Linked DNA regions of Nothobranchius furzeri. The protein of the gene in region 2 purifies or fractionates together with the protein of the main gene of each other region. This does not show direct contact. Links are inferred from orthologs where the notes say so. Each region holds a gene or a part of one and is shown on either strand. Other genes may lie near its edges.

The links. Proteins that work in one complex are often made in the same cells at the same time.
Region 1: the proteins of ciao1 (region 2) and pole purify together in Homo sapiens (affinity purification with western blotting; 3 studies listed by BioGRID, with this or other methods). This does not show direct contact. The link is inferred for Nothobranchius furzeri from reciprocal best matches to the Homo sapiens genes CIAO1 and POLE.
Region 3: the proteins of ciao1 (region 2) and narfl purify together in Homo sapiens (affinity purification with western blotting; 3 studies listed by BioGRID and IntAct, with this or other methods). This does not show direct contact. The link is inferred for Nothobranchius furzeri from reciprocal best matches to the Homo sapiens genes CIAO1 and CIAO3.

What each region holds. Positions count from the first base shown.
Region 1 is NC_091757.1:45,283,410-45,287,688, forward strand, and holds the end of pole (DNA polymerase epsilon catalytic subunit A), read right to left. Parts: intron 4,182-4,279; coding exon 4,049-4,181; intron 3,892-4,048; coding exon 3,690-3,891; intron 3,617-3,689; coding exon 3,485-3,616; intron 2,170-3,484; coding exon 1,976-2,169; intron 1,487-1,975; coding exon 1,286-1,486; intron 1,215-1,285; coding exon 1,089-1,214; intron 1,017-1,088; coding exon 927-1,016; intron 844-926; coding exon 730-843; 3' UTR 554-729; downstream 1-553. UniProt on the Homo sapiens protein: Catalytic component of the DNA polymerase epsilon complex. Participates in chromosomal DNA replication.
Region 2 is NC_091757.1:37,107,786-37,111,504, forward strand, and holds ciao1 (probable cytosolic iron-sulfur protein assembly protein ciao1), read right to left. Parts: upstream 2,590-3,719; 5' UTR 2,353-2,589; coding exon 2,214-2,352; intron 2,087-2,213; coding exon 1,938-2,086; intron 1,854-1,937; coding exon 1,742-1,853; intron 1,665-1,741; coding exon 1,576-1,664; intron 1,500-1,575; coding exon 1,304-1,499; intron 1,224-1,303; coding exon 1,154-1,223; intron 1,085-1,153; coding exon 853-1,084; 3' UTR 653-852; downstream 1-652. Other genes in the region: snrnp200 (U5 small nuclear ribonucleoprotein 200 kDa helicase), read left to right, coding at 70-219; tmem127 (transmembrane protein 127), read left to right, coding at 3,315-3,552, 3,649-3,719. UniProt on the Homo sapiens protein: Key component of the cytosolic iron-sulfur protein assembly (CIA) complex, a multiprotein complex that mediates the incorporation of iron-sulfur cluster into extramitochondrial Fe/S proteins.
Region 3 is NC_091752.1:55,720,527-55,723,467, reverse strand, and holds the end of narfl (cytosolic Fe-S cluster assembly factor narfl), read left to right. Parts: intron 1-52; coding exon 53-171; intron 172-257; coding exon 258-460; intron 461-541; coding exon 542-679; intron 680-759; coding exon 760-917; intron 918-1,903; coding exon 1,904-2,145; 3' UTR 2,146-2,388; downstream 2,389-2,941.

The sequences.
Region 1 (4,279 bases), about 8.2 Mb from region 2:
GGGGATCGATATCTGCGGGGAAGGATGGAGATAAAACAGCAGCCATGCTGGTTTGAGAACTAGTTATAATAGAGGAAATTTCAATTTCACTTTAAACAGTTTCAATCAGACACATATTGGATTTACAAAGAAGATGCATAAAATAAAAGCTTCACATATGGAAGGTTTTGTTATTTTCCAACAACAGCAGGTGTCAGAAAGATCATCTGAGAGAAATAATCTAATCATGTCTCCGGTTTAAATGTGGTTACCCATATGGGAGAAAGCCATCAGCAGGGAAATTAAATCACTGGGAACTTCTTAAGTGTAGGTTAAACCACAATTCACTTTGAATTTAAATAAATATATATATATATATATTTAAATAACTGAATATATATATAACCTCAAAATATTGTTCCTGCAGTAACTAGAAAACAGAAATGCTGAATTTGTTCATTTTCTCCTCATCAGACTACATTTTTTGTTTACCTCTCATAAAAAAATGCATTTTGTACCATGCAAAAAACCATCTAAATAGCAGAATAAATAAACCAATAAAAATAAAACAAGCTCAAATTTTAAACAGTTGCGCTTTAATTAACTGGTGAAAAACTGAAATCCATACACATAAAGCAAAGTTCAGACATATTTACAGAAGAAACATTCCTCCTCTCAGTTCAGCATCAGAGATGATCAAGTGGATAAAGATCGAGTGCTTCCCAGGAGGGTCGCCTCTGCTTGTCACGTTCAGTGGCTGATCTGAGGGCTCATCTCCAGCAGCCAGTGGATGGTCTCCTCCAGGAATCTCATGTTGAAATGGGATGCAATGTTCTGAAACATGGAGATCTGCTGGGCGAAGCTCTTTAAAAACAAGAAGAGAAGGGTTGAGTCAAGAGGAATCGATGTCCGATTTCTCTTATTAAGATCGTAGTTTGAGAGGAAACCTTGGATGAGAAGGTCAGGTCAAAGTCGCCGGCACATCTGCAGTAGAGGGGCATGTTTGCTTCCTTCACCCCTTTACATTTGGTGCACACCTAAAAATCCCACAAACCAGGAAGTTACAACCGAAATGATTTGGTCCGGTTAGCTTTCTGGCACGTACTCACCAGGTCTTGCAGCGTGTAGCTCATGAGTTTCTTCTGCAGAGCTTCAACCAGGGCCATCTCAATTGAGTCTGTCTCATACTGGACCTGACAGTTTGAGCAGAACCACTGAGGCAACACAGACCCGTCCTAAAAAACAAAGAAAAAGTGATGATTCCATTTGAATGAACACGACGGTGTTCGTATCAGGCGCTGCTCACCTGTGCCACTGACGGGTCCTTACACAGGTCCAGGTCCCGACAGAAATTGCAGTGGTGGCAGATGACTTCAGGCAGGATGTAGGAGTTGCAGGGATCACGGAACTGAGCTTCGTCTGAAAACTCCCCCACATCCACCAGACGTAGGAGGTCTCGCTTCAGCTTGTTCACCTGATTCACAATGTTGGCATCCAGAGAAAGGACCTGAAATATAAAACACAGAGCTGCTCATAAATGCTGGACTTTAATGTACTGCTGTGCTAATAATAATAATAATAATAATAATAAATACATTATATTAACAAATCTAATAATAATAAAAATATAAACCACAAACAGAAATAGTTAATAAATTATGGAATTCAAAGTACTGATGTGCAAAATTAAATAAACATTTGAATAATTTTAAAAATATATAACTATTTACATGTAAATAAATATCACATTACATTATTATAATTAATAATGTTAATAATATTAAAGAAACAATTATCTCTAACTGAAAACAATTAATAAATAATATAATAATATGCAAATATATAACAATAACATTACTACTACTAATTAAAAAAACTATGAATACATAATATATCATAATTTTATTATATACTATAATAAATCAAAACCGCGGGCAGAAAGGTTAATAAGGGGTGGATTCTGATGAACTGCTGTGCGTCAGGATCGCGTCCGTACCTGGCAAACGTATTTGACGAACTCCAGAGCAGGGTTGTTCAGAGGCAGGTGTGAGCCGGGCAGGACGGGAAACATCTCTGACGTCTGGGTCACGTTCCTGGAGCCCGTCACCTTTTTCTGGATCTTCTGAGTGATGGTGAAAATGTTCTGGGTCAGCTCGCTCGCCACGTACTCCTGAGAGAAGGAAATCATTCCTGGAGAAGAAAGCAATAACAGTAAAACACAACCGAGTCCAACACACATCCTGAATCTCAACTTTGTTTTTTTTTTTAAATTAACTTAATTCTTCTTCCGGCTCTTGGAGAGTTCAGACGCTTTTTTCCTCCTCTTCTCCCTATCATAACCCAAGGCTCTTTGTCTGACTTTGGGTGTACGGCGCTTCTGCATTTTTTCTGGAAACTAGAAATTATTACAATGGGCCTGGTCAGTTGGTCTCAACGTGATTGACAAAAGGAGAGAAGGGGCTCCCGGGTGCCCCTCTGAGACAGAGCCAGCTGGGCATATCATGGACTCCTGGAAACAGCGGAACCTGATCTGCCTCTCTCAACTGTCTGTAGAGGATTCTGAAGACGTCTGGATATTCGTGGTGTTGGTGTCAGGTTTCATGCTGTTTGGCCCGAGCGGTTACCTGGCTTACCGGAAAATTAACGAGCTGTCGAGGCTCAATCCCAGAGCTCAGGGATGGATTACACCGCACAAACTCATAACTGTCTAAATGAGTCGTAAGCTTGGAACTTTGGCTGAGATTCAGACTCTGGCACAGAAGATTGATGCCACCAAGGATAGAGTTGACGGATCAGCACGGATTGGGATAGATTCATTTACGCCATTATTGGATTCAGACGGGTTGGAGATCAACAGAACTTTAAGACAGAGAGGAAATTATCTCTGTCTGGCCCCAAAGCAAGTTCTTATCTGAATCTGGTGCCCTTGAGCCTGTGAGGCTGAAGTGACCCCCCCCCCGAAGAAATGTGTAATGCTGTTGTCGCCATGGTAACTGTCTCCCTATCCCAGCCTGGGCGGGACTGCGACCGGTGAAGGCCATTGAATCGTTCCAGGAGTCACTGTGCTCTCTAACCCAAATACCTCCTTCCCCTGTCCAAACGGAGGTGACGAGCGCTGCTTATCGCGGCTGCATGCACTGATGTGAGGACGGTCCCCAACCCTACCACCCCACCTAGTGGACACTTATGTTGTGTGATGTCTGAAGTCTGTTGCATTTCTGTCTGAGGTGTTTTTTGCCTTGCAAAGCTGCCCTCCCGGTGGAGGGTAACTCTGAAGTGCCTTTTTTCCTCCACCTGACCCAATCCTCATATAAACCCTCTGATCTCTATTAAGGTAGCGCGACTCAGGTTGCGAATGACCACAGTCACCAATTCTTGTCATGTGTCTATGTATGAATGTCTGATCTCAGAATTGTGTGTACTGAAACTCTAATTTCCCTCTGGGATTAATAAAGGATCTTTGAATTGAATTTGAATTAAGAAGCCTCTTAAACTGCCTCTTTACCAGGAAGTGCGCTCAAGTCCCCAACGGCCTGCTGTGAAACCTGGCTGCCTCCGCGCCTCTTGACTGGCGTTGCTCCCGGAGCGTTACGTCTCAGCTCCTCTTTCATGCTGTGGTAAACGGCAGCGATGTAGGCTGCACGGGAGGAGCGGGACGGTAAATAATAACTCAGAAATGAATAAGAATGAATAACTTTTTATTATTTTACCTGAAACAATCATGAGGAAGTATTTCTGACAGGAAGCCGTTTGGGGAAGGTAATGCATGATGTTCCAGCTGCTCTCAATCAGCTCTTCCACCTCATCAGCCTCTCCATCTCCATCATCTTCCTCAGCGTTGTCCTCAGCCTCATCTTCACTCCCGTCCTCGTCTTCCTCTCCTTGTGTGATTTTCTTCTCTTTGGCGTTTTCCTAAAACCATAAAAACGGGAAAGTGTTTAGAGTACTTTAAGTGTTTTAGTTCAAACTCTATAAATAAACATTTTAAATAAACCTGGTTCATATGACACATTTTTATGCTTCCGATCCGTTTTTTTATTCTGCAAACTGAACTTTTAGATTGCGGTACCTCTCCATACAGAACGCTGGAAGGTAGTTTGCCCTTGACGCCGCCGTAGTTAGCTGGATCCATCCACAACAGGAAGTCCCAGCATCGGGAGAAGGAGATGGACAGGGAGTGGAAGATCTCCCTGGAATGTATGCTAGAAAGGAAACACAGGCGGGTGATTGATGAAAATGGATCAAACGCTTTGTGTCTAGCGTCCTTTCGATTTAAACTGGCCCCAGATCAGTTTTAGTA
Region 2 (3,719 bases):
CAGCAGAAATGTTCTCCCCTTCCCAGTAGAAGGCCTCATTTCCTGTTTTCTTCTGTACTTCCTCCACAGGTGAAGCTGGACTTTGTTGCACCTGCAGTGGGCGTTCACCACTACACCCTGTACTTCATGAGTGATGCGTACATGGGTTGTGACCAGGAGTACAAGTTCAGTGTGGATGTGAAGGAGGCCGACAGCGAGGGAGAAAGTGACTCAGACTAAGTTTTACTGAATACTGTGTTGTCTCCATTTGAGAGGGAATCAATGGGTGTGTTGTAGATATTCAACCTGATTTGTTTCTTTGAATTTAAACTTCTCACTTTTGCCCAAAGTATGTCAGTTTTTTTTAGTGACCCGATTGATGAAACAGTCCAAAATTGGTGTGCAGGATCTGTTTTCCGTATTAAAAATGAAATGCATGTTTTGGATTCAGCTGGATCCACTGACAATACTGCTTTAAATATGGGAAGCATAATTTTGTACTTTTCTTGTCAGGTTTGCTTTTTAAAATAAAAGATGCAACAATTTGGTTTCAGATTATGTCTAAAGTTACATTGCAGATGTAAAATGGTTTTCCCTAGATTAGTAAACATGTTTTTAAGAATCTATTGTCTGGCATGTTCTTTTCTTTTTATTAAAATGAAACCACACAGTCTTGTGTTTTTGTATTTATTCATAAACATGTTTGATTAAGCCATTTTTAAAAAGTGTACAAGATGAGCTGCAGCGGTTTTCCGATCACAAAAATTAAAACGAGATTAATCAAGCCATGAAATAACAGATGTGGTGCCTTAAAGATAAAGTTCCCAGTATGAGATCTAAAACCAAAAGCACTTCGGTGCATTTGTCACTGAATCAGTCTTCTTTGAACCTCCAAATGGCAAGTTCTCCATTGTCGCTGCAGGAGGCAAGAATTCCAGCTTCTTTCGGGTTCCAGGAAGCACAGTTAACGTCCTGGTTGTGAGCTTTGGTTACCTGAGCAACCAGCGAGAATACAGGTTCTTCTGGATTAGAGGTCACGTCCTCTCTGAAAACTCGAACTGCGTCGTCACCGCAGGCAGTTGCCAGGGCGCCAGTCAGCGGACACCTGAACAAATGGTGTTTAAGTCAGTTTGAAGGTAATTCATTCAGATCACTGATAGAAGTTCAGTCTTACCAGGACACATCATACACTGTTCGTCCATGATACCCAGACAGAGTGCAAACACACTTCCAGGACGTGTCACCTTTCAACATACAGAGCAGGTAAAAAAAAGGATTTGTTTGTAAATAAATGGCTTCGGTGTTACTGTTCATAACTACTGACCACTCTCAGAGGGATATTCTTTCCAAATCTTCACAGTGCGATCATCGCTGCAGGACGCCATCCTCTGTCCAGTTGCATCAAAGCACAAACTCCAGACGGTGGAGGTGTGTCCTTCCAAAGTAGCGCGACATTCCCAGTCATCGTCTTCTTCCTTGTAAATACAAATGTTGTTGTCGTAGCTGGCCGAAGCCAGGAGCTGAGGAAACAGACAATAACCTCAAAAATGAGAATGGAGCTACAGATGGAGATAATGTCTACAGATCTGAGTCTACCTCTCGGGTCGGGTGCCACGCTACATGCTTAACATCTTGTGTGTGAGAGTTTAGAACTGTGACACACTCATACTCATCTTCTTCATCCACTGTGGGACAGAGGGAAAACACCTATTAACCAGATCTGATCAAATTGTATTTATTACATGTGTAAATAAACACAAACCTTCCCAGATCCAAACGCTTTTGTCTCGACTGCATGTGGCCAGGAGGTTCCCTGATGGAGCCCACGCCACACATTTGACCTCATTTTCATGTCCCTCCAACACTGTCAAACTCTATAAAGACATTTACAAATGTGTCAAGTTCACGGTTAAATGCTTTTTTAATCACACCACTGAACAACAGAGGTCTCATCTAACCTCAAAACCCTCGTTATTCTTCTTCCAGATGCATGTAGTTGCATCAAAGCTGGCAGAGGCCAAATAATTTCCACATGGAGACCAGGCCACTTTCCTCACGGTGCGCTGGTGTCCATCCTCCAGCACACTCTTACAAACCCAGGAGTCTCCTACGGATAGAGGGGGTCACCGAGGTCAATAGATTAATTATTTTACCAACAGATAACTAATAATCAGAGTGTGTGTGTGTGTGTGTGTGTGTGTGTGTGTAAGAGAGAGAAAGAGATGACAGGCTACCTTCGCGTCCCCAGATCCGGATGGCCTTGTCCCCGCCACACGAAGCCAGCAGAGTCCCGTTTGGGCTCCAAGCGACAAACCAACACCGAGAGTCCGGGTGTGCGCTGAGCCTGTGAAGCAGCGTGAGAGTCTCCTTCATACTGACTTAATGACTATTAAATATTTAGTTAACAGGTCTCGTCACTTTTGTCTTTTCCTTCCCAGAAAAATCCGATAAGAAACTCAAACAAAACCCATCAAAGCAGCAGAGCCACTATCACTATTAACATATTTTGAGAAGATAAGGAATTAACTTGCAATAAAGAGCAAATTAAAGAAGTTCATAGAAACATCCACAACTGACGTGCCGCCATCTTTGCTTATCGGAAGTGCACACTGTGGGCTTCCGTCTTCCTTTAAAAACAAACTTAAATATATTTTTTTTAAATAAACGGAAACAAATTCAGTTGTCGTAATAAAATATATAATTATTCATAAAAAAAGCGAGATTTATGTATAAGATTTAAAGTCTATGGTAAATGCAGAGAAGTTTTCATCGTTGTGTAGTTTTTTTAACCGGTAGGTGGGGCTAGTGATCACAGGTTCTACTGTAGCTACGACGAAACCCGGTGGAAACAGGAAGTCAATGCTTTAGAGGAAACCAGCGTAAGCTGTCTTTTGTTTTGTTTTCTGTTTGTTTTTCTGTAACTAAAACAATATATTTTTATTTATTGTTGTTGTAAAGATTGGGTTCTAGGTTGGCGTTTATATGTTTTTTTTGTATTCGTTTTAATCCTGTCATAAGAATTTATTATATTTGACGTTTACTGCGAATTAGCTAATCGGGCTAACAGTACAGCTAACAGGCCTGAAGGCCATCTGTCTTTTGTTTCCTCGTCAGCCAGATCCTGTTTTTTTATCGAGCAGCTGGTTCTCGTACGGAAGTATTGTATATCTTTCATCTAACAAGTCGCCTGGACCGCTATCATCCTTTAACACTACAGGTAAAATCAGCTGTACCGACTGACAGCTGTGTCAGGCGGCTAATCCCAGTTATAAACCTTAAGGAAAAGGACAGACAAGGGAACCAACACTTCCTACAAAAACAGAGATTTGGTAATCATGTATGCTCCGCCGGGCTCTACCGTACCTGGTGGCCGGAGAAGAAGAACTGCCACCTCCCTGCCCAAGCAGCCGGAGCGCAGCCTGGTGTCAGCGCTGCCCGGAGCTTTGTCCATCACAGCGCTGTGTACGGCTCTGGCTGAGCCGGCCTGGGTGCGTGTTCATGGGGGCGCCTGTCCCAGGCAGGAGCTGGGGGTTGCGGATGTCTTGGGTTACATTGATCCAAAGCTTCTAGATGGTGAGAACCTGCACAATTACTTTACAACCAGCAATTATCGATCATTGTTTTGACTCGTAATGGTTTTTGTTTGTTTTGACGTTTCTGTATCCTCAGATTACTGTGTGAACCCGCAGACCATCCTGCTGTTGAGGGTCATAGCTGCCTTTTGTTTCCTGGGCATCCTA
Region 3 (2,941 bases), on a different chromosome or scaffold from region 2:
TGCTCCACAGATCGTCATCATAACCAGGATTCTCCTCCTCTCTGTTGTTCAGGTTGGATCTGCTATGCTGAGAAGACACACGGAGACTACATTCTTCCATACATCAGTACCACTCGCTCCCCGCAGCAGGTGATGGGCTCCCTGGTTAAAGGATATTTCGCAAAACAACAGGTGTGATTTGGATTTGGGTTTAATATAAAAATGTTTGTGTTTGTTATGAAAACAGCAGCTGATCCATATGTTATGTGTGTTATAAGGGCCTGAGTCCACAGCAGATCTACCACGTGTGTGTGATGCCCTGCTTTGACAAGAAACTCGAAGCCTCTCGCTCCGACTTCTACATGAGCGACGCAGAGACCCGAGAAGTGGACTGTGTCATCACATCAGGAGAGGTTCAGAGGATGATGGAGGAGGAAAATGTGTCCCTCTCGGATGTTGAGCCTGCAGCTCTGGATACAATGTCAGTTTTAGGGCCATTTGGCTTCATTTTTAGACACATTTTCACAGTAAGCAGTTTAAAATGTTTGTGTATTTCATGCAGGTTCAGCAGCGTGTGTGGGGATGAGTTTCTGAGCCATGCTGGGAGTGGCTCTGGAGGTTACCTCCATCATGTGTTCACCCATGCTGCTAAACAGTTGTTTGGAGAGGAGGTGAAGGAGCTCACCTATAAAACGCTCAGGTGAGTTTACATTCACTGGACGTATGGATAAATAAACGTAAGAATTTCTGCAGCTTATTTGTTTTTTTTTGACCAAACAGGAATAAAGACTTCCAGGAGGTGAGACTAGAGAAGGACGGAAACGTCCTCCTCTGTTTTGCCTTGACCTATGGTTTCCGCAACATTCAGAACCTGGTGCAGAAACTCAAGAGAGGAAAGTGTCCCTACCACTTTGTAGAAGTCATGGCCTGTCCGTCAGGTAAAGTGACAGGGTATCTGCAGGTTTAAGGGAGCCAAATTTAAGACTTTTTAAGGCCACTTTGACCAAATTTAAGCAATTATTTAAAATTAAATTTAAGCTATAATTTCCTGCTATTGCCTGGAACCGGTGCTAACCACGTCGCGAACGGATACCCCGAGTGAACGATGAAGATCCGTAATGGGTTTGCTGATCACTGAATGCTCAAAGGAAGAGCTACAAGAATGTCACAAAGGATCGGTATTTGGCAAACAAGTTTAAATATGAAATATTCTCTTTGGCATATTTTTCTGTTTTCTGAGCCTTTTATGTTATTTTCATTTAGTTTTTTGACTATTGGTTGATTATTAGTCTTTGAACCTTCATATACAAGGTATCCACGGGTCCTTAAAAAGTCTTAAATTTGCTTTTCTAATTTTAAGGCCCTAAAAATCCTTACAAATGACAAATAATCCTTATATAAAGTTTCGAAAGGTCTTAAATTACCAAAGACCCAATAAACAAGATTCTTTTATTTCTATAAAATTTTCTTGAATTTCTAGCTAGTGTTCAGCTTTTTTTGTGTATGATGCTGGCGTAAGCGGAACCGTACACATTCAGTTGGCTGTGAAATGGGGCTTTTTTTAAATGAGCACATTAGCTTATTAAGCTAGTGGGAGCTTGTGCCATGGGGAAGTGCAAGTTTAATGATGGCTAATCCCACGTTTGCAACGTGGTTAGCACCGGTTCCAGGCAATAGCTGGAAATTATTGCTTAAATTTAATTTTTAAAATAGCTTAAATTTGGTCAAAGTGACCTTAAAAAAGGTCTTAAAAAGTCTTACATTTGGCCCCCTTAAACCTGCAGATACCCTGATATAACACCACAGTCTAAAGTGTCTGTTTATAATAATCAGCCTCTCAGTTTATAAGGCGAAGGCCGGAGCATCATGGGCTGCAGGTGTGCCTCTTGTAGATGTTTGCTGATCATCCCTTGTTCTCCTCCAGGTTGTCTAAACGGTGGAGGTCAGGTGAAACCCTCAGCTGGTCAGAACCAAAAGGAGCTTCTTCAGAAGGTGGAGGAGCTCTACAGGGCAGACCGCCCCCTGGTGCCAGAAAGTGACCCTCGTGTGGCTGACCTGTACCACAGCTGGCTGAACAGTTTGGGAGAAGACGGTGCGAAAGAGCTGCTGCACACGCAGTACCACACGGTGGAGAAGATGACCAACGGGCTCACCATGAAGTGGTGATTAGTCTTTGTTTGCAGGTGTTGTAAATCTGGACATCTGTCTCTTCAGAGACGAGTTGTTTGACTTATGTGATGTCCTTTAAATGACCTTCTCCTGTGTGCCTGATAAACCCTGTGATTTATGATTATTAGTAAATAATTCTTGTCTGTGTGCTGCCTGTTACTAAGGAACAGACACATTAATTTTCTATTTAAGGATCGATGTAAATACACTCTAAAAAATAAAAACCTCATTTAACTACAACTGTGTGTTGTGTAATCCGTTTTAAAGAGCAACATCAGATTATACAATCAGAATGTTTATTGTTCATTAATGTACAGTTTGGGAGTTAACTTTGGTGAAAAGCAGACATTTACATTAAGACTTATGCATTCTTATTACATAAAGTAAATACTCGTTTCAAAATTGGTAATGAAAGTAAACCGTAAGTTTTACATGTTAGGTCAGAAACGAGGTGTGTATTTGAAAACCAAAAAAAGTGTATCCATTCTGAAACGCTTAAGAAAACGAGTTACCCAAAAAAATTCCTACATAACTCGGAAAACCAACAATAATTATATTTGTTCCCTAAATAAACATTATTCAAATACCCGTGCCAGCTTCATCCTGTCAGTTCCACTGATTACCAGCCTTGTGCCATTAAGCTATAGCTAAGAGAGCAGCGCTAAGAAGGAAATGTTTTAGGAGTTTGTTCGGTCGCTAACACACCGGTGTGGTGTCAAAATAAAAGCCTCATCTATGTCCTAGAGGTCGTACCAGACGACTTAAGTTCCACGATGTGAGCGGTGTATGATCG